Cricetulus griseus: one gene and its partners. The protein of the gene in region 5 interacts with the protein of the main gene of each other region in a pairwise test. Links are inferred from orthologs where the notes say so. Each region holds a gene or a part of one and is shown on either strand. Other genes may lie near its edges. The genes, in order: Usp13, Myoz1, Pkm, Gmeb1, Trim63, Tnni2 and Pdhb.

Region 1 (3,500 bases), on a different chromosome or scaffold from region 5:
CAGAAGTCTAAATTTTAAATTTAAATCATGTCCATATTTTAAGAAACACAAAATGGAATGAGTCCAGACCACAGATAGCCTGGTTGCTAGTCTGTGAACACTGGCTTATCTGACCTATTGCTGTCCAGTGTGATGCCTTTGTCCCACCACTCTCTGCCCTTTCCCTGAGCCCTCCATTAACTTTCATGTGGCTTGACAAATCTGCTGTGCTCTGTGTCCCTTAGGCTGCCAAGATACATGCATGCAGTGAACACATGCAGATTTATAATGAGCTGATTTGGGCTCTAGAGAGTCCAGTGAATATAATCTTTTGTTTTGCAGATGTTTCTATTGATATGCCAGACCTACTAGATATCAGCCATCTTAGAGCCAGGGGCTTACAGCCAGGAGAAGAGGAGCTTCCAGACATCAGTCCCCCTATAGTCATTCCTGATGACTCAAAAGGTACCATTTCCTACTGGAAGGATACTCTTTCCTTACCACCCTCTTCCAGCCAGGAGGAGTTACTGTTTCACCATTAAACTGCTCCCTGTCTTTGACCTAGACACATAGGAATGAAGCATGGCTGCAACTGTATACTTCAGACTCATACACTATGAGTCATTGATTTGGGCCCTGGTGGCAGAGGCTCCTGAAAGGGCTTACAGACAGGTAGTGGTGAGCAGTAGGGAAGCCAGGATGGCTTTTCATACTTCCCCTATAAATCATGTCCAGGCCAGAAACCTTGCTCTTGGAAATAAATGCAAGGATTGAAATTATTTATCTCACTGAGATGTCAAAACTTCTTGTTTTATTTGCCCAAAATCTGCTGTTTCCCCTCATTACTGTAATTAATGAACTGTTTTGCAGGTAGTGTGTGTGGGGTAACCAGGAGTGAGAGGGTCTGGGAATATCCTGGACTGATGCAGTTTCTTTTTTCTAAAACTATTGGTGGTGGCTAGCTCTTATTTATCATCTGTTCTTTCATTTCCAGATCGCCTGATGAACCAGTTGATAGACCGTAGGTATCTTTAAAAGTGTTTTTTGGTGTCTTACAGTTGTTGCTAGTATGATATGTTTTAAAGATTTGTTCATTTTTATTTATACATATGGGTGTCTTGCCTGTGTGCATGTCTGTGTACCATGTGAATGCCTGATGCCCACAGAGGCCAGAAAAGGGTGTCAGATTCCCTGAAACTAGGGTTAGAGAGGGTTGTGAGCCACCATATGAGTGCTAGGAACAGAAAAAACCTGGGGCCTCTGGAAGAGTAGTAAGTGCTCTTAACTTCTGAGCCATCTCTTCAGCTCATAGTGTAACTTTTTTTTTTTTTTTTAAGTAGTAGTTCAGCAAAGTAGCATTGTTCTGTCCTGGATATATGTGGTTGTTCCTGGGTGGAACTGTCTGTAAGTTGAGTAAGCAACAAATGTAGACCAATGAAATGCTGCTTAAGTATCCCTTATTGCTCAGGAGGATTAGTGTAGGCTTGAAAGCTTGCAGTCCTGTGGGGTTTTGCTGCTTAGGACTGTGTGGCCTGGAACAATTTGTTTCTTATTCTATAGGCCTCAATTACCTCATTTGTAAACTGAGGTAATAATACCATTTTTTTTCTCATGAATAGCTCAATAGTTAGATGACATAAAAAGAAGTCAAATTAAGACCCAACAAAATGGATCTGTCTTCAGGTAGTCTGTAGATTAGATAAGGGGTTGAAGAGTAATGAAGACAGGAGGAAGTGGAAAATTCTGTTTTTCATGGTGGGATATCCTGCTGTGCTCTGTAGCCTCAGACATTGATGAATCCTCCGTGATGCAGCTGGCTGAGATGGGCTTTCCTTTGGAAGCCTGCCGGAAGGCTGTGTACTTCACTGGAAACACTGGAGCTGAGGTGGCCTTCAACTGGATTATCGTGCACATGGAGGAACCTGGTAGGTGGCCATATGGGAGTACTTTGGAGTTCATGTCCCCAAGGATGTGTCCCCAAAGATGAGTTTTCAGATGGTAACATGCTACTGTTTGGGCAAAGTCACAATCTTAATCTCTTAAACAACAGCTTTCTTGGAATAACTTCCTCCTTAAAGGTGTCCACACTTCGTTGACCAAAAGATCATTAGAAAGATGTGGTGTTTATTTTAAGCTTGAAATAGAAAACTGAAGAAATGGAGGCCCTTTCCTCAGCTTCTTCTTTTGTCTACTTTCTGAAGATGTCATTTATATATCCACCTATCAGAAGTGTACATTCACATGGATTTTAGTCACTTTACAATTAAGCAACTGTCTAATTCTAGAATATTTTTGTATAACAAAAGAAATGCTAGATAGGAGGTATCTTGGTGGTTTGATTGTAATTGGCCCCCATAATCTCATAGGGAGTGGCACTATTAGAAGGTGTGGCTTTGTTGGTGGAAGTATGTCACTATCTGGGTGGGCTCTGAGGTTTCCTATGCTCAGGAAGCTGCCCAGTGGCTCAGTCTACTTCTGTTGCCTGTAAGATACAGCACTTTCAGTTCTGGTACTGTGTCTGCCTGATTGCCTCCATGTTCCACCATGATGATAATGGACCGAATCCCTGGAACTATAAGCAAGCCACCCCAATTAAATGTTCTCTTTATAAGAGTTGCTGAGGTCATGGTGTCTCTTCATAGCAATAGAAACCCTAATTAAGACACTGCCTCTCCCATGTTCTTACTCTCTCCAGTGCTTAATCTTCACTAATCTACTTTCTGGGTACCCTACAATTGTTATGAATTTGCCTATTTTTGATAATTCATATGAATGGAATTGTACAACATGAGGCCTTTTGTGTCAGGTTTCTACCGCTTTTCATAATGTATTTAGGGGTCTTATGCTGTAGCATGAACAGCACTTCCCTTTTATGGCCATGTAGTGTTCCATGTATAGCCATACCACAGTCTGCCCTTTTATCAGAGGATGACAGTCATTTGGGTTTTTTCTGCTCTTTGGTGTTTATTAATGGGGCTGTAAACATAAACTTTTGTGCATATATAGATTTATGATTTTGTTTCTCTTGAGCAGAATTGATGTAGTTCTATATTTAACTTTTTAAAAATTGTCAATTTTACCCAGTGGCTGAACCATTTCATACTCTTACCCATGATGAATGAAGGATTCAATTTCTCTGAATTCTCACCATTAGCAGTTTTGTTATAGTGGCTTCTGGGTGTACCATGGTGGTCACTGTGATTTCAAGAGGTATTTCCCTACTGACTAATAACACTGTGGGTATAATTAGTTCTTTGCCTTTTATTGTTAAGTTCTAAGAGTTCTTTTTAAATTTTAGATACAGGTTTCCTCTCAGACACATTTTTTTTTTCTTTTTTGGTTTTTCAAGACAGGTTTCTCTGTGTAGCTTTGGAGCCTATCCTGTCACTCGCTCTGTAGACCAAGGTGGCCTCAAATTCACAGAGATCCACCTGCCTCTGCCTCCTAAGTGTTGTCAGACACATAATTTGCAGAGATATTTTTCTGTTCTATGTCTTCACTTCTTTGATGATGTCTTTCAA
Region 2 (4,102 bases), on a different chromosome or scaffold from region 5:
CTTGGCCATATCCATGTAGGCATCTATTTCCACTGTCCCAGCCACCCAGAGGAGGTGGAGGAGGAAGAGAGGAAATGGAACTGGTCCCCTCCTCCTTGGCTGTAACGTCCTGTGCCTGACCTCTCTCCCATCCTCCTCCTCTTTCTTTGGAGAAGCCTGCCTGGAACATATGTTGTCTTAGAGAAAGAGGGTTTAGTTCCCTGTTAGGCACCCTTAAAGAAGAGACTGAACCTTAAAAAAAGATTTATTCAAAAGGAAGATGGCTATAGAAACTTATTAGACTCTCCTAACATTGCCAGATTTAACAAACAAAATTACACACTACTACTTACATTTTATGTTCAGGTATAGAACAATATTTTTAGTATAAATATGCCCTAAGTATTTAATGGGACAAGTTTACATTAAGAAAGTATTTGTTATGTATTTAAATTTAAAATGTAACACACCCAGCACTCAGAAGACAGAAGCAAGCAGAGCTCTGTGAGTTCGAGGCCACTGGTCTACAAAGCAAGTGCCAGGACAGGCTCCAAAGCTACACAGAGAAACCCTGTCTCGAAAAACAAAACAAACAAAAATGTATTATTCAAATCTTATATTGTTTTTTGTTTTTGTTTTTGTTTTTTTGGTTTTTTTGTTTGTTTTTTTGGGTTTTTTTTTTTTTTTTTCCAGACAGGGTTTCTCTGTGTAGCTTTGGAGCCTATCCTGGCACTCGCTCTGGAGACCAGGCTGGCCTCGGACTCACAGAGATCTGCCTTCCTCTGCCTCCCAAGTGCTGGGATTAAAAGCCGTCACCAACGCCAGGCTTCTTATATTGTATGTCTAAAATGTTACATGTTACAGGCAACATATTTACAGAAAAAAGAAAAAAAGACAGGTGTTCGCTGTAAAAACTTAGCCAACTCATAAGCAATCTTCCTCAGCCTCCTCAGTGGTCCAGCTCATTGTGTAGACTTGGAGGTCAAATGTAACTGGATACTCTGTTTGACCTTTGGTGTCTCAATGTCTTGATGTCTTCATTGGGAGCAATGGAAATGAAACCTAGGGTTCCATGCATTCTAAGCACCTGCTCTGCCACTCAACTATACAGTCAGCCCCGAGATTCTGTAGTTTTTGATGCTTGTTTTATTTTTATGTCCCAATATTACAAAGAACATACTTCACTAAAAGAAAATATTCATTGTGTATCTTAACTTCAAAATACAGGACGGGTGTCCCGTGTTTTATCTGGCAACCCTATTTTAACACTTACCCACACTGGGAAGGAATTTTCCTCTGGGTGTGGTACTCCTCAGCCTGCACTGGCTCTAAGATGAGGACTAAGATTCAGAAATGGGCTGCAACCCACCCTAGAGCTGCTGGGAATGTAATACATGTACGGGACTTAATGAACTTATCATTTCTCATGGAGAGGAAGTGGGTGGTATTTGGGGAACTTAGGGCCCGCTGAGAGGCTGTCAGAAAAGGCACTGGGCTGTGAGAGAGTTGGTCACATCCATACTCACCATTGAGCTGTCAGAGAAAACATCCGGGTGGTTCTCATAGATAAATTTCTCCACCCTCATCTGCCGCAGCTTGAACATCTTGGAGCCTCGGTTGGTAAGTAATGACAGCTCCTCCAACATCACATCCCTTGGGACACTGATCTTCTTGCCCAGGTTCAGGCCTGAGTTCTCCCGTCCACCTTGTCCAGGAGGTGGAGAAGGGGCGATAGAGGAAATTAAGGCTTTCTGGACTCAGAGAAGAACCTCCACCCATAGCTGAGTGTATAGTCAAAGAGATCATTTAGAGGCAAAATTCTGTGATCTGACCAAGTTCTGCCTAGTTTATGAGAGGTTTTTGTCTCATTTGTGTATCTTTTAAATATTTTAAGAGAGAGAGGGGGGGTCCAGGGTTTCACTATGTAACCCAGAGTGGCCCAGAATTCACTGTTAGACCAGGTTGGCATTGAACTCACAAATCAGCCTGCCTCTGCCCCCTGATCACTGGGATTAAAGGCATAGGCCATCATCACACTCCATGAGAAGTCTTGATTTCCTGGTTTGGAGTTAGAGAGAATACACAGGAACAAGGGTTCAGGGCATATACAGTCGGAGTACTAGAGTAGAGAAGTAAACAGGGCTACAAAGAATATGGGCTTGGAGTGGAAGAGAACAAGTGTAAGGGAATATTGTAGACAGAGGTCACTGGAGAAATTATAGCTTGGGAGGAAGCTGATAGTCCAATATCATGTGCAGTTGCCCCTCTCTAAATACAGATCCTTATTTTTTTTCTTTTTGATTCAGTGAACTCTGGCTCCAGAAGTATCAGGAGAACTTCACACCTGGTAACTCGTTTACATCCCTGGGGAGTATGCCTGCCCAGTTTCCTATTTTAAATGCTTACACAAGTTCTCTAGCACTTAGAAAGAAATAAGGAAGTTAACCATTTGGTGAGGTCTAGCTTGTGTCCTGTGGCCCTGGGCCTGGCTGAGTAGTGTAGCTGGGTGCTGTCTCAGAATAACCAGTGGCAAGGGTGGAGGATGCAGAGTAAATGTGGAATTCTTCCTGCTTCTCTCTCCTTGCCCTTCTTACCCCTCCCATCACTTCTGTCTCCCACACCTTCCGTGGCTGGAATTCCTCCTGTATTTTCACTCTGACTTATATCCAGTCTTATGTAATTTCTGGGACTCCCGAGTCATGGGTGCTCTTAAAAGTCAGGCACTAGGGAGCTACAAGCATGCCCTACCTCCGGTGAGCTCCATGATCAGTTTGCTGGGTTTCCTCCTCTTGTTAGGGGCCGGGGTTCCCGAGAGCGGCATGATGGAAATGGACTTGACCTGGAAGGAGTGGGAAGCAGGCTTGAAGAAGAATCTTCTTTTTCTTAATTTTTTTTTTTTTTTGAGACAGGGTTTCTCTGTGTAGCCCTGACTGTCCTGTGTCCTGGAACTGGCTGTGTAGACCAGGCTAGCCTCAAACTCAAGAGATCCTCAAACCAAGCTCCTACCCTCCTTGCCCAATCTGCCTCTGCCTCCCAAGTTGGCATGTGCCACCACCTCGAAGCTTCAGTACTCCTTAACTTGGGGTTAAGAACAAAGTTTCTTCGGAGTGTGTGTGTGTGTGTGTGTGTGTGTGTGTGTGTGTGTGTGTGTGTGTGTGTGTGTTTCTCCAGTGCTGAGGATTGAATTCAAGGCTTCATTATGCCACGCAGGTTCTCTACCACTAAGGTATGCCATCCAACTCTCAGGTTTTCACAGAAGTGTGTATTCCTCCCAAATGGTAAAACTCCGCTGTCTTAGGACTTGTTTTCTTTGGAATCAGAACAGGAGGCAGAGCTGCCCCCTTTTCCCTACCTCTTACCATCCTCCAGTGCCCATTTTCCATAGATCCTGTGGGGGGGGAGGCGAGAGCTGTTTCAAAGACAACAACCCTGGCAGGGCAGTGCACCCAGGTTTCTTGGCCTGGCATGATTTAAAGCGATTATTTGTATTGGGGTATCAGCCTACAGCTATGGCTCCAGACTCTGGTCTCCTCCTCAGGCTTCCCTCAAGGTCCAAGGGGTAAAGAAATGCTCTGCTGGTGTTAAGGAGATTCAGCCAAGACAGTCTCCATAGGAAGGAGAGGTTGTTGTTCTGCCAGGAGGCCAACTGGAACTTGGCCTGAGAGGTCATGGGTGTGTTCCTTGTTCCTTCAGGCACTCCTATCCCAAGCTGCAGAGCTGGGGTGGAGAGTGAACTGAGGGCATCTGAGCACTGACAGATGTCAGTTCAGCGATATCATATATAACAGTAGAGAATTGTGAGGGGACAGAAACATAGTAATAAGATTTGGCTGTGGATGGCGACAAGCTAGGGAAAAACATGAACTTCAATTTGTCCTTAACGCTCATGCAGTTTTCTGTGGAGTCTTGTCTCAGAAGTACAGATACACTCTACCAACCTCCCAGGGTCTCAGCCCCCCCTTCCCATTCCTCGGGTACCTCCCCACCCATCTTAATTCCACCCAACTCCTTAGGTCCATTTGTTTCCAACTCTGTGGCTCCAACTGGACAGCTGAGAGCTGGGCAGAGATGAGGAGAGAGGCCACTCCCCTAGGATGAAGGATCACAATCACAGACAAAGAGG
Region 3 (2,392 bases), on a different chromosome or scaffold from region 5:
TTTCTCAGGCCTCCGTACATACCCCCACTGGATAGTTTTAGCTCTTAGCAGTGACCAGGAGCTAAGGAAGGTCCTACCTGCTCCTGTTGTACTTTATTCCAGAGAGGACCCTGAAATCCTGAGGATTTCAGGTGTCAAGTAGAGACATCCCACAGCACCCTAAAAGGCTATCTACTACAGGGGCCAGCCTACCAGCACCAGGGTCACCTAACTCCTTGAGTATAGGAACCATTGTAGGTCTAAGTTGGACTTTCTCTGGTCATTCATGCCTTTGCCTCAACAGAATAGTGTGCTTTCCAACACAGCCCAGGTGCTGGAAGAAGCGATTTATATATTCAGCCTATATATGTACCATTCAGCTGCTTTTCCAGTTGTCCTATGCCCTGCCGGTGACCTGGTGGAGTTATAGCACCCAAGGCCAGGCCCAGGCCCAAGGCTGTTCACCTGCTCAGAGGGCAGGGCTCAACCACTTCCCCCAGCAGAAAAGAACAGGACACAGGTGCTTCAGCTGCTGTTTATTGACATTCAGGTGGGCACTATAGCAACAGGCCTGGGGATGCTGCCGTCGAACAGAAGGTGGCGAGTGGAGTGTGTGTCTGCAGCCACAGCTGAGTGGAGTGCACAAGGAGGAGTGGGGGAGGCCAAAGCTGTTGGGGAAGCAAATCAGGCCCAGGGTCAAGGGTTATCTACACACAGGGACCTGGGCCCCATGTCCTAAGCCCCTACACTCTTGCTGTCTCCCAGGGCTGGGAGTTCTCTGGGCAACTTTCTACAGGAGCAAAACACACAGAGGTGTTGCTGCCCTTTTGTGATAAAGGCAGAGGGTTTACAATTCTGCATTCCTCCTTCATCCCTAGCTTGGGTAGGGCCATGAGAGACAGCTGGGCTCTAGTCCATGTTTCAAAGCCAGTAAATTTTCCCGGGTGTCCCAGCCCACCAGCGCCACAGTATGGCCCAGAGTGAGCACTACAAGCGTTGCTGGCCTAATGGATGGGATGGGGGAGGGGATGGGACAGGGGCTAGAAGAGGGGCTCCAGAGGGCCATCAAGGCACAGGCACGACACGCATGGTGTTGGTGTAGCCAGAGCCAGGGCGCCACCCAGTCAGTACAATGACCACATCCCCCGTCTTGAAGAAGCCTCGGGCCTTGCCTGAAAGAATAGAAAGGTTGTGAATAGAAGTAAACACTTGGGGTAACTGCCCCAAATTGAACAACCATTACTCTCTCCTACCACAAGGTGGCACTTCCCTCCTAGCCCAGAGGCCACCCAGGCATGGGCATTCCAGGGCAAATGCCCAAAGAGCTACCTACAATCCCATTGCCTATGATAAGGGGACCAGTCTGCCTGAACCAATTCTTCTTTCTACCACAAGGTGGTGCAAGCCTCCTAGACCAAACAATGGCTGAACTCAAGACTGTAGGGACCTTTGGAGATCACAGAGCCAGCGGCCTCCTCCCATCCCAATGTCCAACCTTATAGAGGAACAAAGGCTATAGCAGCAGTACATAATCTGTGTGTCCCACCTTAATTTTGCCTTGGGCCCCAAATTGGGAGGGTGTGGACAAAAAGGCTTAGCCCAAGTCTTCAGAGAATGACAGTTTCAGAATTCCCAGAAAAGCCATTGCTCAGCACCCCATCTTCTTGCTTCCAGCTACATACCAACATTCATGGCCAAATTCACACGGAGGTCTACATCCTCAGCCCAGGCATCCTGTACCGCATCCTTACACAGCACAGGGAAGATGCCACGGTACAGATGGGCCTGACGAGCTGTCTGGGGATTTCGAGTCACAGCAATGATGGGAGCACGTGGGCGGTACCTGGCCACCTGGTGAGCACTCCTGAGATGGGAAATAGGATAGACTATGAAACGTGTCACAAGACCCAGGAGACAGGAAGCACCTTCAGCAGGAGCTCACTAACACAAGTGAGGCACAGGCCTTGCCCACTGAGAGCTTACTCTGTTCCAAGGACTGGCCACCCCCCACATCCTGTCCTCTGTCCTTTCTTAACTGCTCCTTCAATAGGAGCAGCAGTCCCTCAGGGCCCATGGCTAGAATCCCTCCCATATCATGAACCCTTCCATGTAGCAGGGAGACAGCTTTGGCCAATCTCACCAGCATCCACAACTGCTAGCAACATTTACAACCAAGCAGCATACACCTAGCTCCTGGGAGCCAACAATATTAAGGACTGCAGTAGTATGCTGTTCCCATGGCAGTCCCAGAAGCCTAACTCTAGAGCCCAAAACACACTTGGTGCCACAAAATCCGGACAGTGACCAGGCATTATATAGCAATGCTTAGCCCATCTAGAACCTTTGGGAATGTAGTGACCCCCCCTTCTCAAAACTACCTGTGACAAGTGATAATGTCTACTTCTAGCAGGTG
Region 4 (3,500 bases), about 2.0 Mb from region 5:
CCACCACTGAGAAATCCTGCCCAATGGAAGCAGCCACTTGTCTGTGTTATTTTCCACACAGGATTTCTTTATGTAGAGTAGACTGGTCATGTAGTCCAGCTTTACCTTAAACATAGATCCTCCTGCCTCTGCCTCCTATGTGCTGGGATTAAAGGTGCCACCACACCTGGTTGGACACTTCTAATTCTTGACCTTAAAATTTTTGTTTTTTAGGGGGCTGGAAAGATGGCTCAGCTATTAAGACTGACTGATCTTCCAGAGGACCTGGGTTCAATTCCCAGCACCCACATGGTAGCTCACAACTGTCTGTGACTCCAGTTCCAGGAAACCTGGCAGCCATGACAAAACACCAATGCACATAATATAAAAAATAAATAAATGCTTTGCCTACATGCATGTCTGTGTACTATGTACACATCTGATTTCTGTGAAGGCTACAAGAGGGTGTTGGATTCCCCTGGAACTAGAATTACAGAGCATTGAGAGCCACCATGTGGGTGCTGGAAACTGAACCCAGAACCTCTGGTAGGACAGCCAGCACTCCTAACAGCTGAGTCATCTCTCCAGCCCCATGCTTTACATTTAAATTTTCAGCAAGGGAACATTCAAGGCATACTAACTAATGCATTCAAGAGGGAAAACCACAATGGTAAACTTGTTGGAGGAAAATAAATGTCGTGGTAGGGGCTATCCCATAGGCTGACATCTGTTTCTGTTAGACAGTGATGCAAAGACTGCAAACACTATGCCTGGCATTTCTCAGCAGTGGTCTTCTACTGTCAGTCATGGCTATTGCACTTACTCAGCACCCAGCTTTGCTTTCTTGATGTAAGGATGACAGGGAGGACTATCAGCAACTTGGAGCTTCTAAGCCAAGAAAGGATCCTGTTTAAACTCCTGACATCAGCACCCTAAGCCAGGCATGCTGGTGTCAGCCTTGGCTACACAGCAAGTTGTGGGCTAAATGGAACTAAAAGAGACTCACAAAACTAAAAAGAAAAATGAAAAATCTAAATTAGATGCTGGAGAGAGTTAATTAGTTGATTTAATAGTTAGAGGTTACAGTGTATAATTCAGTGGTAGACTGCTTACGTAGCACGCACAAAGCCCTGGATTCCATCCCTAGTATCACAAAGCAAAAAAAAAAAAAAAAAAAAGATTAAGGACAGGTCAATGAAGGTCAAATAGTGTGGGAGATTCTACCCTGACTAAGCGCTTCACTGAGATGCTTGTGATTGTCACTGGCACTTACCTGAGCATGATGCCACCTAGACGAATGGCTCTCTTCCAGTCCTTCAGAGTGGACTTGCCAGCCAGATGAACAAAATGCTTGGGGCTGATCAATTGATCATTGAACTAAAGCAAAAAAGAAAAATCCAAATTGGTCCAGTGTCAACTTAGGTAGGTCAGCAAGGGAAGAATGAAATAATGCCACTTGCTATACACAAAACCCCAGACACTATTACAAGCCCTATCAGTGTCACCCAACCCCGTCCTATGGTACCAAACATTATCCCTCTCTGAGTGCCTGTCCTTTCCTAGGACAGAGTTATAGAGGACGAGGGTGAGAGATAAACATGCTACATAGCATCTACACATCCATTTATACTCTGATCCATTATATTCTGAAGTGGGGGCTGGGTCTAGTGTTCCAGGGACTGGTCAAGTAACTGAAGAATTCTAGTGTTAAAGACAGATGCGCATGGAGATAACTCAACTTTAAAAGTGCTAATTGTGCAAGACTACAGACTGACTTCAATCCCAGAAATCACCTAAAAAAGGACAATCTGTGAACTGCATCTGTAGTTCCAGCACTCTTTTTTTTTTTTTTTCTTTTCAAGACAGGGTTTCTCCGTGTAGCTTTGGAGACTGTCCTAGAACTAACTCTATAGATCAGGCCGGCCTCAAACTCACAGAGATCCAGCTGTCTCTGCCTCCTGAGTGCTGGGACTAAAGTGTGCACCAGGACCACCCATCGAGGAGATTCTTTTTTTTTTTTTTTTTAAACTTGAGACAGGGTCTCACTGTGTAGCTCTGACCAGGCCGGCCTTGAACTCACTCTGCTTGCCTCTGCCTCCCAAGTGCTAGTATTAAAGGTGTGTACCACTATGCCTGGTTCTCATGAGATTTCTTATTTGCTTGTGTTTGTTTGTTTGTTTTTTGGGGGGCAGGGTTTCACCACATAGCCCTGGCTGATCTAAGACTCCTTGTGTGTAGACCAGATTGGCCCTGAATTCACAGAGATTCACCTGCCTCTGCTTTCAAGTTCTGTCATTAAAGGCATAAATCACCATACCTTTTGGGTATTATGAGACAGGGTCTCACACTGTATCACCTCTTGGCCTCAAACTTAAATCAATCCTATTGCCTCCATTCTGGGATTACAGGCATGACCTACTACACCCTACTTATTCTTATCATCAACAATTCTGAATAAAGCCTATTATGATGCATACCAGTTCAACGCATGTTACATATATGATCTCATTCAATACATCATAGTACATGTGCTGTATAAATGTGTGTGTACATTTACATGTATGCGTATCAGTGGGAATGTTACTATTTTAATACATAAGGCTCCAATTTTTTTTTTTTTTTTTTCTGAGACAGGGTTTCTTTGTGTAGCCCCAGCTGTCCTGGAACTTACTTCATAGACCAGGTGGGCCTCAAATTTAGAGATCTGCCTGTCTTTGCTAGGATTAAAGGGCTGAGGTTAATGGTATATACCACAATGGCCAGCAAGGCTCTGAAATATTACTAAATAACTTGCTCAAAATCACATGGCTAGACAGAGGTAGAGAAGGGTTCTAGCCATTTATTCATTTACTTGTTGCAAGTAACTATCAAACACTATTATACAAACAGTACCATACAGGGACAACCCTTGTCATGCACAAGGCCCTGCCCCCACCACCAAGGCATCATATAATGTCCCAGGTTTATCTTGGTGAAAACAGACAATGCTCTCTTGCACATGCTCCTTTGGAAGTAGAGCCAGGCTCATTTTATTTCAAAATCCTTACTTTCTACTGTGACAGCATAAGACAACAGCTGTGGGGACAGCAAAATGGCTCAGTAGATAAAGGTATCTGCTGCCTATTGGAAGTGGCAAGCCCTGAGTGAGTGAAGTCCTAAGGGAATGTCTACTTTTGTTGTTTCAAGACAGGGTCTCACTATGTAGCCCTGGCCGTTCTGGAACTAGACCAGGCTGGCCTTGTCTCTGCCTGTCAAGCCTTGGAATTAAAGGTATGCACCACTATGCCTGGCTGGGGATATGTATTTTGACATGGGTACAGCCATGCGGAGAAAGACCAAAGCCTCAGACCATGGGGCATTTGGCAAAACCTTTACTCATACTGCCCAGGCTCACAAATCCAAGTACAAGTGCTTATGAATAACTAACTGATCAGTGTGAGCACAGACTAGAAATTGCAGCTTCCTCCTCCCAGATGTTTACAACTCAGACACCTACTACCAAGATTACCTAACCTGTCTCT
Region 5 (3,500 bases):
TGGTGGCTCAAAACCACATGTAACTCCAGTTCTGGGGGATCCAACTCCCTCTTCTGGCCTCCTCAGGCACTCACACACATGGCAAAACACCTGGCTGGGCTGTGGTGGTGCACGCCTTTAATCTCAGCGCTGAGGAGGCAGAGGCAGGTAGATCTCTGAGTCCCAGGCTGGCCTACAGGGCAAGTTCCAGGACAGGCTCCAAAGCTACAGAGAAACACTGTCTTGAAAAACCAAAACCAACAACAACAACAAAACCACCCATATACATTAAAAAATAATAATAAATGAAGAAGTGTGGAATCCCATTTCATTCCTGATCTACCGAATCAGAACCTGAGTTTCCACAGGCTCCAGGGTCAAGTGAACTTTTAAAGGTCCAGGAACCTTGCTCTGCAGCAAAATGATTGATGCTAGAGACATTCAGGGAGTTGGTGGGTCCCTGCAGTCAGGGACCAATTGGGTCTGGCTTGACCTTGGGCAGGGTCTGACATAACTGCTATGTTCATGAACTATTTGCCAAGTGAGTGGGGGAATGGCTGTGCCCTTTTTCTGCCATCTATATTGGACACCCAAGGCCCTAAACCCCAACCTAAACTCACAACTTAGGCCTTTCCCAGAGACCAGCTGCACTTGAGGTGTCCACTCTGCCTCAGCGCTGACAGGGCCACTCAGCACCCTCACCTTTGTCACTCGGCAGGAGTCCTCCAGCTGAGAAATGATAGTCTGCACTCGGTCATTCCCTGCCACCAGCATGGAGATGCAGTTACTCAGTTCAGTCTGAATGGGAGGGGTGAGAGAGGAGAGACAGAAATAGATTCAGAGCCGGCTGCTTCTCTGACAGAGTCACCAATAGGGTTGCTATCCCTCCTTCTGGGGTGCAGTTAAGGTCTAAAGTAGAGACTAATACAGATGCTATATCCTTTATGGACGGATGAGACCCAGAGAGAGAAACTGAGCACCCCAGAACACACAGCAAGATACTGACAAAGGAACAGAAGAAAACTTTCTTCTTCTTCTTCTTCTTCTTCTTCTTCTTCTTCTTCTTCTTCTTCTTCTTCTTCTTCTTCTTCTTTTCTGAGCTGGGGTCTTACTATGCTGGCCCAGAACTTACTATGTAGACCAGGTTGGCCTCAAATTCATAGAGATCCACCTGCCTCTGCCTCATGAGTGCTATGCTTAAAGGCCTGTGCTGTCTGTCATACCCCCTGGCTGCTAATTTCTGAGAAAAGGAATAGGATTGGAAAGTTCTAGAAGACAAAAGTCCAAGAGCCAAGTGGCATGTGGAGAACAGAGTTCAGGAAGGGCTACAGCTTACTACAGACACCATGCTGGGGTTGCCAGGGGCCCAGGGAAGAACCTCGACTTTGCCTTGTGCTACATGAGAGGCCCAAGTGGAGAGGTATGGGACCCCAGAGTACACAGGAGGGGAAGCCATGGCCTGGAAGGGCCTGGTGGCCTGTCCCTGGGGTCTGGCCTCTTCCCTATGGCCACACCCAGGTGTTCTCAAGTAGCTCTAAGTATAACCCATGAGCTCAGCCACCTCCCCCAGGGAGGCAACGGCTGCTGTCCCTGTGGCCTGGGAAGTCCCTCCAGAGGGACTATTCCTGAAAGGCCGGCTCAGCACATCCACAAGGGTCAAATCCATCTGGGCACAGTGTTTGTAGTCAATACCTTCTGTCCCTGGAAGATGTTTTGCAGCGGGGCTACCTCACAGGCCTGGTGGGCCCCGAACACCTTGCACAGGGAGCAAGTAGGCACCTCACACGTGAGGCAGTAGATGTTGATTTTCTCATCCTCGTGCTCCTTGCACATCGGGTGGCTGCCTTTCTGCAGGGGCCGACTGAGGGGGAGAAGAACCACAAGTTAGGGATGTCCCCTCTAACTGTCCCTTGCTAAATCCAAGAACAGGAAGCCACCACATCCACATGCCAGTTCCCAGTGTGTACCTGCTCCAAACAGTCTTTGTTTTATCTTCTGGGAGCCCAAGATCAGGGAGGCTAATGACACCAAACCTGGCTAATGACACCTAAACTCAGACTCCAGCATTAGGGCTGGCCTGAGTTGGTACAGGGAGCCCGGGGAGGGCCCCGGAATTCTAGAGTCAGACCAGAAGATGCTGACCTTAAGGAAGAGGCAACAGAGTCCCAGAAAATGAACAGACTTGCCCAAGGTCGCCCAGCACAGAGGCAGAGGAGGTTAGAACGCCTTTGCTCTAATTATAGCCCCATAGCTCTTGGTTGCTGGGCCTGGGCAACTTATTTTGATGGCAACCCTTATGTCTATATTTAATCTATCAGACCATAGCCTTCAACTAGGCTGGGAAGCCTGCTTGTTTTTCTCCCCTGCGTCTATAACGTACAGTACCTGGCGTGGAGACCGTGGAAATGAAATGCAAGGAGGAAGAATACACGAGTAAACACATCCTGAGGGTGTCCGAGGGTTAGGAGAAGGGGACAGTATGTACACCCTAAGCCAGACAAACAGCACATGGTTGGGGGCAGGGCTGTGTAGCAGCCCCGTGCAAAGCTTGACCTCATGGGGCCCATATATATCTAATATATATATATATATATATATATATATATATATTTCAAGACAGGGTTTCTTTGTAGCTTTGGAGCCTATCCTGGAACTAGCTCTTGTAGACCAGACTGTTCTCAAACTCACAGAGATCCTCCTGCTTCTGCCTCCCGAGTGCTGGGACTAAAGGAGTGAGCCACCACTGCCCGTCTTCTTTTTTATTTTTAAAAATGCCTTTATTGACTATGCGTGTATGCTGGGGTAAATGTTTGCACCACGTCACACGATGGAGGTCCGAGGACAGCTTGAAGGAGTTTGTTCTCTCCTTCTACCATATGGGTCCTGAGGGTAGAACTCGGGTTGACGGCTTGGCGGCAAGCACCTTTACCCACTGAGCCATCTTGCTGGCCTAAGTGTTTCTTCCTGCTGTCCTAGGACCTTTCTCCCTTTATTGCTTTTTCTGCTTAGGGTGCCTGGCATGCTCCTCTCTAGCATCAGTCTTTCCCAGCATCTACTCGGGTTTTAGTCAAGGTTTTACCTCCCAAGTGAGACAGAACTTGGCTCCATTCAGGGTAAGCAGCCATGTCTACACTACCTCTGATGCCAGCCCCTAACATGTAAGCATCTCCTAAACCTCAAACTGACTGTCCCCATCAGTATCAATGTCTCACCTCCCAGCAGCCCTGCATGGCTGTAGCACCCCAGACTTCACTGCCCCCTCCAGGAGCCCCTATCCAGGCTGGTTTTTGGTTTTGGCTTTGTTTTCATCTTTGAGCTCAGGGACCTCATACTGAGGTGGCTGTGATGGTGGGGGTTTCCCCGGTGCCACCTGCTGCTCTGCCCCAGGGTGTAAAACAAGATGGAGCAGACCTGCTGTTGAAACTCCCTCCCTCCCTGGCGGTCAGGTATCGGGGTCAAACACTTGCTTGATTTGTGTGATCTTACTCTTCAAGCCTCAGTGTCTCTCAGAGCTGTCCCAA
Region 6 (4,234 bases), on a different chromosome or scaffold from region 5:
GTGGCAAGAAGGGACTACCTGCACTTCAGACATGGAGCCTGGGATATGCAGAGGTGGGCAGTGCTCTGACAGGTAGTTCTGTTTCTCAGATTCACGGCGGCTTTCCTCTTTTTCCAGTTCTGTGGCCGCAATCTGGAGCATCACACTCTGAGAAGCAGAATGGTGAGAGTAAGGGTCTGCAGTGACTCCCACCCCCACCTCTGTACCCCCAGCTCTCTGCAGCAGCCCATCCCTACCTTCAGGTGCTGTCTCCGGGCTGTGATGGCCCTGTTGCGTTTCTGAACAGGACAGGGCAGGACAGAGAGGACAGAGTCAGGCCTTGGCTAGAACACTGACCTCCTTGAAGCCCCATCTGACAACAGGGCTCCCAAAGAGGCTTCAGGGCCACTGCCCAGGACCCTGTTATTTTTCCCCAGTCCAGAGCCTGCTTCAGGGACTCATGCCTGTGGTCCTGACACTTCGCTTAGGTGGCACATAAGCTTGAAGGGGGTAATGGGGTTTGGGAATGGGGAGGGGTGTGGCCAGAGCTTAGAGGCTGTGGGCAAGGGGAGGCCTGGGAGGTGAATGGTGAACAGAAATCAGAAAGGAGAAGTGATTCCATTGTGATTGAGCCTGAGTCTCACTTCCCTCTCACTGGGCACCAGGCAGGCACTTCCTTTCTCTCTGGGGTAGCTCAGGGGGCGGGGCACTTGAGGACCTTGACAGGTGTGTCTTCTGACTTAGTCTCAGGGAACCATTATAGCCTGAATGGTACTCACCTCCTCACTGTCCCAGGAGAAAGAGGGAGGCGGGAGGGGGAGAGAAAAGAGAAGTTAGGTTGTGGCTCATGGGAGTAGCCATGGAACCTTGGGGTAGGTGGGGTTGAAGGGGTAGGTGTTAGCCACGGAAGGTAGGGGGATATGGGACCCGAGCCCTGGTGAGGGGACTGCAGTGTGTGTGGGGGTGTCACACTGGGTACCACTTACTCCCCCATCCTGAGTTCTCGAGCTCTGAGCCTGTGGGGAGAGAGCGGGGAAGACGTCAGTGTCCGTCTTGCATGAGGCCAGGCATGGAGACCTGTGCTCACTCACTAGTCCAATTCTGCTCTACCCTCAACTCAGACCTTCTCAAAGGGCAAGGATTTAGAGGACATCCCCCACCCCCACCCTGAGGGTGAGAAGTAAGAGGAGAAAGTGTTCCCAAAATGTCCCAGGCGGGGCCTGAGGAGCTGCAGCTGTCCCCGAGGGAGGGGTGGGGCTGGCCAGCACAGGTGGCTGCCAGGGTGAGCCTGTTATTTTTAACTCTTGCTTCTTTGGCTGGAGAAGTAGATACATGGAAGAAAGAGCTCTCCTGTGTGGCCTGGGGGCTCAGGTCCCCGCTTGCTTGACCTGAACGTTCTCTTGCTTGTGTGTCCCCAGAGTCAGTGCCTGTCATCAGAGGCCCACTGAAGACCCCTGTCCCATCCTACCAGCACCTGTTGCTTTTTTATCCCAGATCTGTGGGAACCCCCAGAGAGAGCTGTTGGCAGCAGACCCCAGACCCCCAAGTCCCTGCCCAGGGAAGTCCTCCTGCGAGCTAGCCTGAGTAGTGCCCTATTCTCCAGCTTCAAGAAGATGGGCCAGGCCTCACCTAGAGTCTGTGCAGCAGGGCTGGGAGCGAGGTCAGGCAGGCAGCAGTAAGCTGGGCTGGTGGGCCAGGGGGAGGGGTATAAATGGATTTCCCTGGGCCGGGCCCCTGCTCAGAAAGGGCATGGAGTCTCCTCAGACCAATGGGGGCACAGAGAGGAGGAGAGCCTCCCCACCTGCCCAGCCTGCTGGCCAGCCAGCCCAGGCGCTGGCCTGTCCAAGAAGTCTTGGGGTGGGGGTGGGGGTTGGTTTGCTCTATTTATGTCTCAGTGACCAGTTCAAGATGCCACCTTGTTCCTGCAAGAACCCTCAGGACAGCAAGAGTCACACTGCATGTGGGTCTCCAGGGTACCCACCCGGTTCAAGCATCCATTGAAGTCTTCCTCCAAGGGAAACTTGACCTAACAAGTGGACTAAACTGGAGTCACTGTCAAATGGCCTTGTAACTCAGCACCTATCTGGTCACTCACTCCATGTTTGGGCTCCTGGGCTGACTGTTCACCACTTCAGTCCTCCTGCAAAATTGGACCCATCCCCAAAAGCAAGCAAACAAAAACAAAACAACAAAACAGTCTCTCTGGCCCTGTGTCAAGGCTCAGGAGAGAGATGCCCACCCCTTGTAGTGAACTTGCCTTTCTGCTCAGGGAGAGGAACAAATAGGCCCCTGGACCAGTAGCTGGGCCTCTCCCAGCCTGCCACACACCCTGCCCACGGGTGTCTATCTCTCTGCACAGGCAACTTGGAACATGTCCTTCAACCCCAGAGAGTGGTGCCACCGCCCTAGAAACCTCTCTCTGACCTATGGGGGCTCAGGGCCCTTGGTTGCCTAGGCAGGCCCTGCATTGCCCCGCTCACTAGGGCCAGGCCCTCACCCCTTTCCCGCTCCTGAACCCCACCCAGAGACACCCAGATCATGGCTTGGCCCCAGCCCTGCTGCTCTGGGGCCCCTGAGGATCAGGGGAGGGTTGGAACTGCTAAAGCCGGCCAGATGTGCTGGGATTAAGAGGTATATCACAGGCCAGGACTGCGCGCCCCCAAAGGCCCCAGAGCAGCTTCCGAAGGCATCTACTGCCCCCTGCTGATAGCACAGAGGACACCCTATGTCTCCATACCTCATGATGTTGGGGTCTCTTCCCCACACTGTCCCTACCCACAACTCCCCCCACCAGTTGCCCACCTTGTCCCCACAGGGCCATCTCTAATCCCCTGCTCCTCTGCCAACCCTGGATGGCAGAGAGAGATGCCATCTTCCCCAGGAAGACCTAATAATCAGGCCTTAAGCAGAGGTTCAGTACTGGCAAATCTGTCCAGAGCACCCTACCTCACCCTTGAGAGGCCAGTGGTGCCAAGATGTAGCCCACCTTGTGCCTCAGGTCCTCCTCACAGGGCTCTATCAGGGCACATGAGTGGGAAAAAAAAGACCTTTATTTCAGAAAGCTTGGAAGAGCCTGGACAAATGCCCACAGCTCCATTTGGGGAAACTGAAGCCTACAGTTCTTTTAGGAGTGAGGCCTAGGTAGGGGCAGGTGAGGCTTCAGGGCCAGAGCACGGTCCACCTCCCTGGGGGACTGCAGGTGGTGCCACTGGGCGATAGGCCGTCTGGCATGGGCCAACATATCTGCCCAGTGCTGTAGAGGTTGTCCTGAAGCCCTGGGACCCAGCAAAACCTTGCCTATAGGCTCAGCCCGGTGATGCAGGCCATGGGCCCAGACAGCCAGCACCAGGTCCACACTCTGCAGACATAGAAGGGAAAAGGTTATCAGTTTGGCCCAGCACAACGTCCCAGGCCACTCCACCCTTCCTCCTGCTCCCCACCTGGAGCTGGCTAAAGGGAACCAGGAAAGTGAAGGCCTCGTTGAAGTAGGGCATAGTTGTGCCCTTCTTAGAGGATGTTTTCCTCTTCTTCCATTTTCTCTGGTTTAACATGAGCTGGACCTTCACATAGGGCTCTGCATGAACAAGAGAGGTCAAGAAAGGTGTCTGATACATGCGCATGGGAAGGTTGAGCACAAGGGCCCAGCCCTCTGACCACCCCAATATAGTTCTTACCTACAAGCCCTGGATTCAGGCCCCGAGCCTCCAGCACAACCACAGTCAGACGGCCTGAGCTGGGCACGTAGCGCAGTGAGAAGCACAGCTCCCCCATCTGCTCAAGCTATGGGTAACAAGGCATGGCCGCCGCTGGGAGGGTCATCTTTGCCCTTGGGGTTTTGGGCTCAGCAGTTACAGCACCCAGGCCTTGGCCACCCCCATGGCACAGGCAGGCCCCTGCCAGCCAGGCTCACCTCAGTGGTACCTGGAGGGCCCAGCAGGTACCAGCTCTCCAGGACATGAAGAGGGTCTACAGTGCTCAGGGATAGCTGAAGCTCCCCTAGTAGCTCGTGTTCTGAGAACCGCTTGAAGTCCAACAGTTGCACCTTCAGGGTAGCCCTGGGCAGCTCTGCTGGTGGGACCTGCAAGGCAGGGCCGTGAGCTGAGTCCCGCTGCTCTGGCCCTAGACCGCTCTACCTACACAGGTTAGACTTACCAGGAAGCAGCATGTCTCTTCAAACATGGGACAGAGAGTCCCACGATGCACTTTTGTCTCGTGTCTTCTCCCAGCCTGGGTGGAAACACTGATGCGGGCGTAG
Region 7 (4,072 bases), on a different chromosome or scaffold from region 5:
GCAGCTACACCTGCTGAGGCACCATTGGGCCCCCTGAATACTATGGGCACAGGCTGGAGGCCAGCAGACATGTAGTAAGTCTTAGCAGCTGAGTTTATAACCTGGTCAATGGCTTGCATAGAGAAGTTGAAGGTCATAAATTCACAGATAGGCCGCAACCCAGCCTGTCAAGTAGAAACATCAATGTTAAAAAGACTAAACAGAACAAGCAAGAGTGCTGAATAACCACTCCACTTTTCCAGTATTACAAACAATATTTTCTTTCTTTTTCTTTTTTTTTTTTTTGTTGGTTTTTTAAAACAGGATTTCTCTATGTAGTCCTGGCTATCCTCTGCTTCCCAAGTGCTGGGGTTAGGTTAAAGGTGAGTGCCACCATGTCCAGCTCAAACAACATTTTCAGAAGATAGTATTAAAGGAAATCTCCTTAGATGACCTTCATAAATAATAGTACATACCATAGCTGCACCAACAGCAATTCCAGCAAAGCCCATCTGTAAAGCAAACAGCAACGTAAGAAAACATCCACAGAAATTAAAACTGAATACTCAACTCGATTCTCAAAGCTGGTCTGGAAAGCGTACCTCTGATATGGGAGTATCTATGATCCTCTTGTCACCGTATTTTTTCCATAGGCCTCTGCTAACCTACAATTAGAATTTAACCCCATGACTTACAAGTGCTTATCAGGGCAAATGGGTACTTTTTAATTCTATATCAAGTTTACCTATTTCAGTTACCTTATATGCACCATCATACTGGGCAACTTCTTCACCAAGCAGAAATACCTTTTCATCTCTTTCTAGTTCTTCATCCATACCTTGATTAATAGCTTCTCGAACTGTCAACTGGCATAGGGGTATATAAACAGGAAATAAGCTAAAGGATTATTTAGATACTATGGAAATTCCCTTCCTTATACTTACCTAGGCTGCCCACAAGACAAAACATAATTAACACTCAAGCAGGCAATTCCCTTTAAAGTTCCAAGAATCTGAGGAGGCAAGATGGCCAAGTCTGATGAGTTTGATCCCAGTCACACATTATGGAAGGAGGAAACTGATTCCCTGGAAGTTGACCTCAAGTGCATAGATAAATGCGTATCATACAAATTAAAATTCCAAGCCAGGCGTTGGTGGCGCACGCCTTTAATCCCAGCACTCGGGAGGCAGAGTCAGGCGGATCTATGTGAGTTCGAGGCCAGCCTCGTCTCCAGAGCGACTACCAGGATAGGAGCCAAAGCTACAAAGAGAAACCCTGTCTCGAAAACAAACAACAACAAAAAAGTCAAATTAAACTTCCAAGAACTTAAAAAGTAACACTCTACCACTAATCCTTCACTAGATGTTAATGAAAACTTACAGAACACTGGTTGTACCATTTGATGCACACCCAGGCAACAACAACACACTGATGGAACCCTAAACTGTGTCACAGGCAGTTTCCTAAGGAGAAAACATGCTAAGTTGTTTCTGTCACTACACTTGGAATACTAAGAGGCAGAGAACTAGCAAGGAAATCTAAGTCTAAGCATTAAGCACTCACTAGTGCCCAACACTTGACATCCACAATGCAGGAGCTGCTGCTTTAATATGTAGAAAGGTTAAGTCCTCCACTTCTAAATATACTTATGCCAAAGAACTGAAAGCAGGGACTCAAGCATGTATCTGCAGCCGATGTTCTCAGCACCATTACAAACCCAAAAGGTGGGAACAAGCCAAATACTCATCCTTGAATAAATGTATACGATGTGCAAAGGCTATGACTCAACCTCTCAAAGGAACAAATTCTGATGTATGAATTTCACAATATGGATGAACCTTGAAGCTACTGTGAGAAGTTAAATAAGCCAGACACAAAAGAGCAAACGATCCAACTCATATAACATTCTAGAGCCAGCAAACTAAGGACTAAGGGTCCGGCCTTCCTGAGCAAGAAAAATACAAAATGGTCTAGAATAGCAGAGTAGTGTGAGTTATCGTGTAACAGCCGGTAATCAAAAAAACTACTAAGAAATGGACAGTGTATATGACGACCGCAGTCGATGCCGCTGAACTTGACATTTTAACCTAAGGTTTTTTCTTTTTGTTGTTGTTTTTGTTTTTGTTTTTTTTCTTTTTCGGTTTTTCGAGACAGGTTTTCCCTGTATTGTTTTGGAGCCTGTCCTGGAACTAGCTCTTGTAGATCAGGCTGGTCTCGAACTCACAGAGATCCACCTGCCTCTGCCTCCCGAGAACTGGGGTTAAAGGCATACGCCACCAACGCCCGGCTTAACCAAAGGTTTTAAAGTTGTATTTTTACCACAACTTCGGGTGTATGTGTGTGTGTGTGTGGGGGGGGGGTCAGGGAAAGCGCTGGCTGCTTGTTAGACGACCTCCGGCCTCGCGGGGGACGGGTGTCAGCTTGAGAGGCGCCGGGCGGGGACACAAAGTGCGGTTCATTCGCAGGGCTCAGCCGCTGCCAGGGTCGGCGACGCCACCCTTCCACCTCCCGCCCGCGCCCAGGACCGAGGACTCCCTCCCGGCCTTGCTCAGGGTCGGAGACGGTTACCTGCAGTGCCGCGGGCGCCGAGCGGTGAAAACGCCGCTTCACAAGTCCAGACACCTGGCCGGGAGAGAGAAAGAGGTTCAGGGAGGGCCCGGGGCCTGCCGCGGGCGTGCGGGGGCCGCCACCTACCTGCCGCCAGGGTCCCCGCAGCACGCCGGCCAGCGTCGCCATCTTGCCCGTGTCCTCTACTGGCGGCCTAATGACAACACAGAAGCTCCGCAGACCGGGCCTGGCGCAACCAACGGTGGGGCGTGGCGAGCTCAGGGCCCGCCCTAACCCGTCAGCCGAAGCCAATGGAGAGTGACGACTGAGGGCCCGGCCCTCCTGAGCAAGCCAATAGCAAGGCGCAATGCCAAAGGGTCCCGCCCCTCGGGCTAGCAAAGGCCTCTGCGAGCGTGGCCAACGAGAGGGGGCGACGTGTGCGAGTCCCGCCCACCTGGGCAGGCGGGAGCCGGCGGAGGTGGCGTGGAGCAGCTGATCTTTTCTGACCCGGCGCACGCACCCGAGAACGTTTAGCAGACAGCCGGCTGCAGCTGCTAGCACGCGGTGCACACGCCCCTGGCTGCTGCCTGCCTGCCCGCCCAGGTGCTGAGACTGGCAATGAGGCCTGACCGAGGATGGAGGGGCCTTAAGGCCACCCCTCCGCAGACACTGCGGGCCTTGAGTACCGCGTGGGTGGCTCTTGCCCACAGTCCCGTGGAGGAGAACTAAATAAAAAGGAAAGGCATGGACATGACGGCTCCTCGGTACGGTGAAGGAGAAAGTTTATTATACAGATATATGGGAGAGCATAACCAGAGGCTGAGACATCTGGGAGGAGAGCCCTCGCCTTTGTATGGATGGGCGCGGTCCATTGACTATAAACAATAGCTTTCATGTAAGCCTTGCGTCCACTGTGTGCCAAGCATTGTGATGTGTACTTCATAAGTGATTGTAGGTGGTTGCTGTTATTTTTATCTGCACTTAGGCATGAAGATGTGAGGAAATTGTTCTGATCATGCTGAATTTAGATGGCAAACCTACGACTCAAATGTGAGACAAACGGCCCGTGGTTCGCCTATTTAACATATCAAAGTGGGCCTGGCTGCCAGGTCCTCCCAGCATCCTTCAGTTCCTTGGAATGACTTGTATGTCTGGCATACCCTACCCTGTACCCTGAACTTTCCAGCCCAAGGTCTGAGGTGCCCTAACCCCCAGAGGCTCTTTCCTATATAATCCAGACATTTTGATTACCGGCCCTTTTTTACCTTACTGAAACACCTGGCTCCCATTTCCCCTCCTCTCCTCACATGGCTCAGCTCAGCCTGGTCACGTCCACTCTGAACTCTCCCAGGTGTCTCTGCCTCTGGCTATGCTCTCCCACATATCCATAATAAACGTTATTCACCATACCTAGGAGCAGTCGTGTCCTTTTTCTTTCTTTCTCTCAATACCCAAATGGGAGAAGTCTGAAGCCTAAAGACTTGGTAGGGCTAGAGATAGACATTTGGGAATAGCTGCTTGGATGTGGTCTTTATTTTCTGTATTC

Evidence for each region.
Region 1: the proteins of Trim63 (region 5) and Usp13 interact in a two-hybrid assay, tested with the Homo sapiens proteins (2 studies listed by BioGRID and IntAct). The link is inferred for Cricetulus griseus from reciprocal best matches to the Homo sapiens genes TRIM63 and USP13.
Region 2: the proteins of Trim63 (region 5) and Myoz1 interact in a two-hybrid assay, tested with the Homo sapiens proteins (2 studies listed by BioGRID and IntAct). The link is inferred for Cricetulus griseus from reciprocal best matches to the Homo sapiens genes TRIM63 and MYOZ1.
Region 3: the proteins of Trim63 (region 5) and Pkm interact in a two-hybrid assay, tested with the Homo sapiens proteins (3 studies listed by BioGRID and IntAct). The link is inferred for Cricetulus griseus from reciprocal best matches to the Homo sapiens genes TRIM63 and PKM.
Region 4: the proteins of Trim63 (region 5) and Gmeb1 interact in a two-hybrid assay, tested with the Homo sapiens proteins (2 studies listed by BioGRID and IntAct). The link is inferred for Cricetulus griseus from reciprocal best matches to the Homo sapiens genes TRIM63 and GMEB1.
Region 6: the proteins of Trim63 (region 5) and Tnni2 interact in a two-hybrid assay, tested with the Homo sapiens proteins (2 studies listed by BioGRID and IntAct). The link is inferred for Cricetulus griseus from reciprocal best matches to the Homo sapiens genes TRIM63 and TNNI2.
Region 7: the proteins of Trim63 (region 5) and Pdhb interact in a two-hybrid assay, tested with the Homo sapiens proteins (2 studies listed by BioGRID). The link is inferred for Cricetulus griseus from reciprocal best matches to the Homo sapiens genes TRIM63 and PDHB.

Annotation. Positions count from the first base shown.
Region 1 is NW_023276806.1:116,475,463-116,478,962, reverse strand, and holds part of Usp13 (ubiquitin carboxyl-terminal hydrolase 13), read left to right. Parts: intron 1-321; coding exon 322-444; intron 445-973; coding exon 974-1,000; intron 1,001-1,760; coding exon 1,761-1,904; intron 1,905-3,500. UniProt on the Homo sapiens protein: Deubiquitinase that mediates deubiquitination of target proteins such as BECN1, MITF, SKP2 and USP10 and is involved in various processes such as autophagy, endoplasmic reticulum-associated degradation (ERAD), cell cycle progression or DNA damage response.
Region 2 is NW_023276807.1:200,330,513-200,334,614, reverse strand, and holds the start of Myoz1 (myozenin-1), read right to left. Parts: upstream 2,801-4,102; coding exon 2,728-2,800; intron 1,685-2,727; coding exon 1,506-1,684; intron 1-1,505. UniProt on the Homo sapiens protein: Myozenins may serve as intracellular binding proteins involved in linking Z-disk proteins such as alpha-actinin, gamma-filamin, TCAP/telethonin, LDB3/ZASP and localizing calcineurin signaling to the sarcomere.
Region 3 is NC_048597.1:171,224,136-171,226,527, reverse strand, and holds the end of Pkm (pyruvate kinase PKM), read right to left. Parts: intron 1,844-2,392; coding exon 1,662-1,843; intron 1,152-1,661; coding exon 1,045-1,151; 3' UTR 501-1,044; downstream 1-500. UniProt on the Homo sapiens protein: Catalyzes the final rate-limiting step of glycolysis by mediating the transfer of a phosphoryl group from phosphoenolpyruvate (PEP) to ADP, generating ATP.
Region 4 is NC_048595.1:21,003,194-21,006,693, reverse strand, and holds part of Gmeb1 (glucocorticoid modulatory element-binding protein 1), read right to left. Parts: intron 1,357-3,500; coding exon 1,253-1,356; intron 1-1,252. UniProt on the Homo sapiens protein: Trans-acting factor that binds to glucocorticoid modulatory elements (GME) present in the TAT (tyrosine aminotransferase) promoter and increases sensitivity to low concentrations of glucocorticoids. Also binds to the transferrin receptor promoter.
Region 5 is NC_048595.1:18,970,593-18,974,092, forward strand, and holds part of Trim63 (E3 ubiquitin-protein ligase TRIM63), read right to left. Parts: intron 1,841-3,500; coding exon 1,672-1,840; intron 778-1,671; coding exon 682-777; intron 1-681. UniProt on the Homo sapiens protein: E3 ubiquitin ligase. Mediates the ubiquitination and subsequent proteasomal degradation of CKM, GMEB1 and HIBADH.
Region 6 is NC_048596.1:58,818,272-58,822,505, forward strand, and holds the start of Tnni2 (troponin I, fast skeletal muscle), read right to left. Parts: upstream 2,801-4,234; coding exon 2,782-2,800; intron 2,552-2,781; coding exon 2,460-2,551; intron 279-2,459; coding exon 237-278; intron 148-236; coding exon 19-147; intron 1-18. Other genes in the region: Syt8 (synaptotagmin-8), read right to left, coding at 3,104-3,337, 3,420-3,553, 3,654-3,759, 3,890-4,057, 4,132-4,234. UniProt on the Homo sapiens protein: Troponin I is the inhibitory subunit of troponin, the thin filament regulatory complex which confers calcium-sensitivity to striated muscle actomyosin ATPase activity.
Region 7 is NW_023276807.1:76,097,053-76,101,124, forward strand, and holds the start of Pdhb (pyruvate dehydrogenase E1 component subunit beta, mitochondrial), read right to left. Parts: upstream 2,801-4,072; 5' UTR 2,716-2,800; coding exon 2,674-2,715; intron 2,602-2,673; coding exon 2,548-2,601; intron 846-2,547; coding exon 738-845; intron 645-737; coding exon 582-644; intron 492-581; coding exon 456-491; intron 165-455; coding exon 1-164. UniProt on the Homo sapiens protein: The pyruvate dehydrogenase complex catalyzes the overall conversion of pyruvate to acetyl-CoA and CO(2), and thereby links the glycolytic pathway to the tricarboxylic cycle.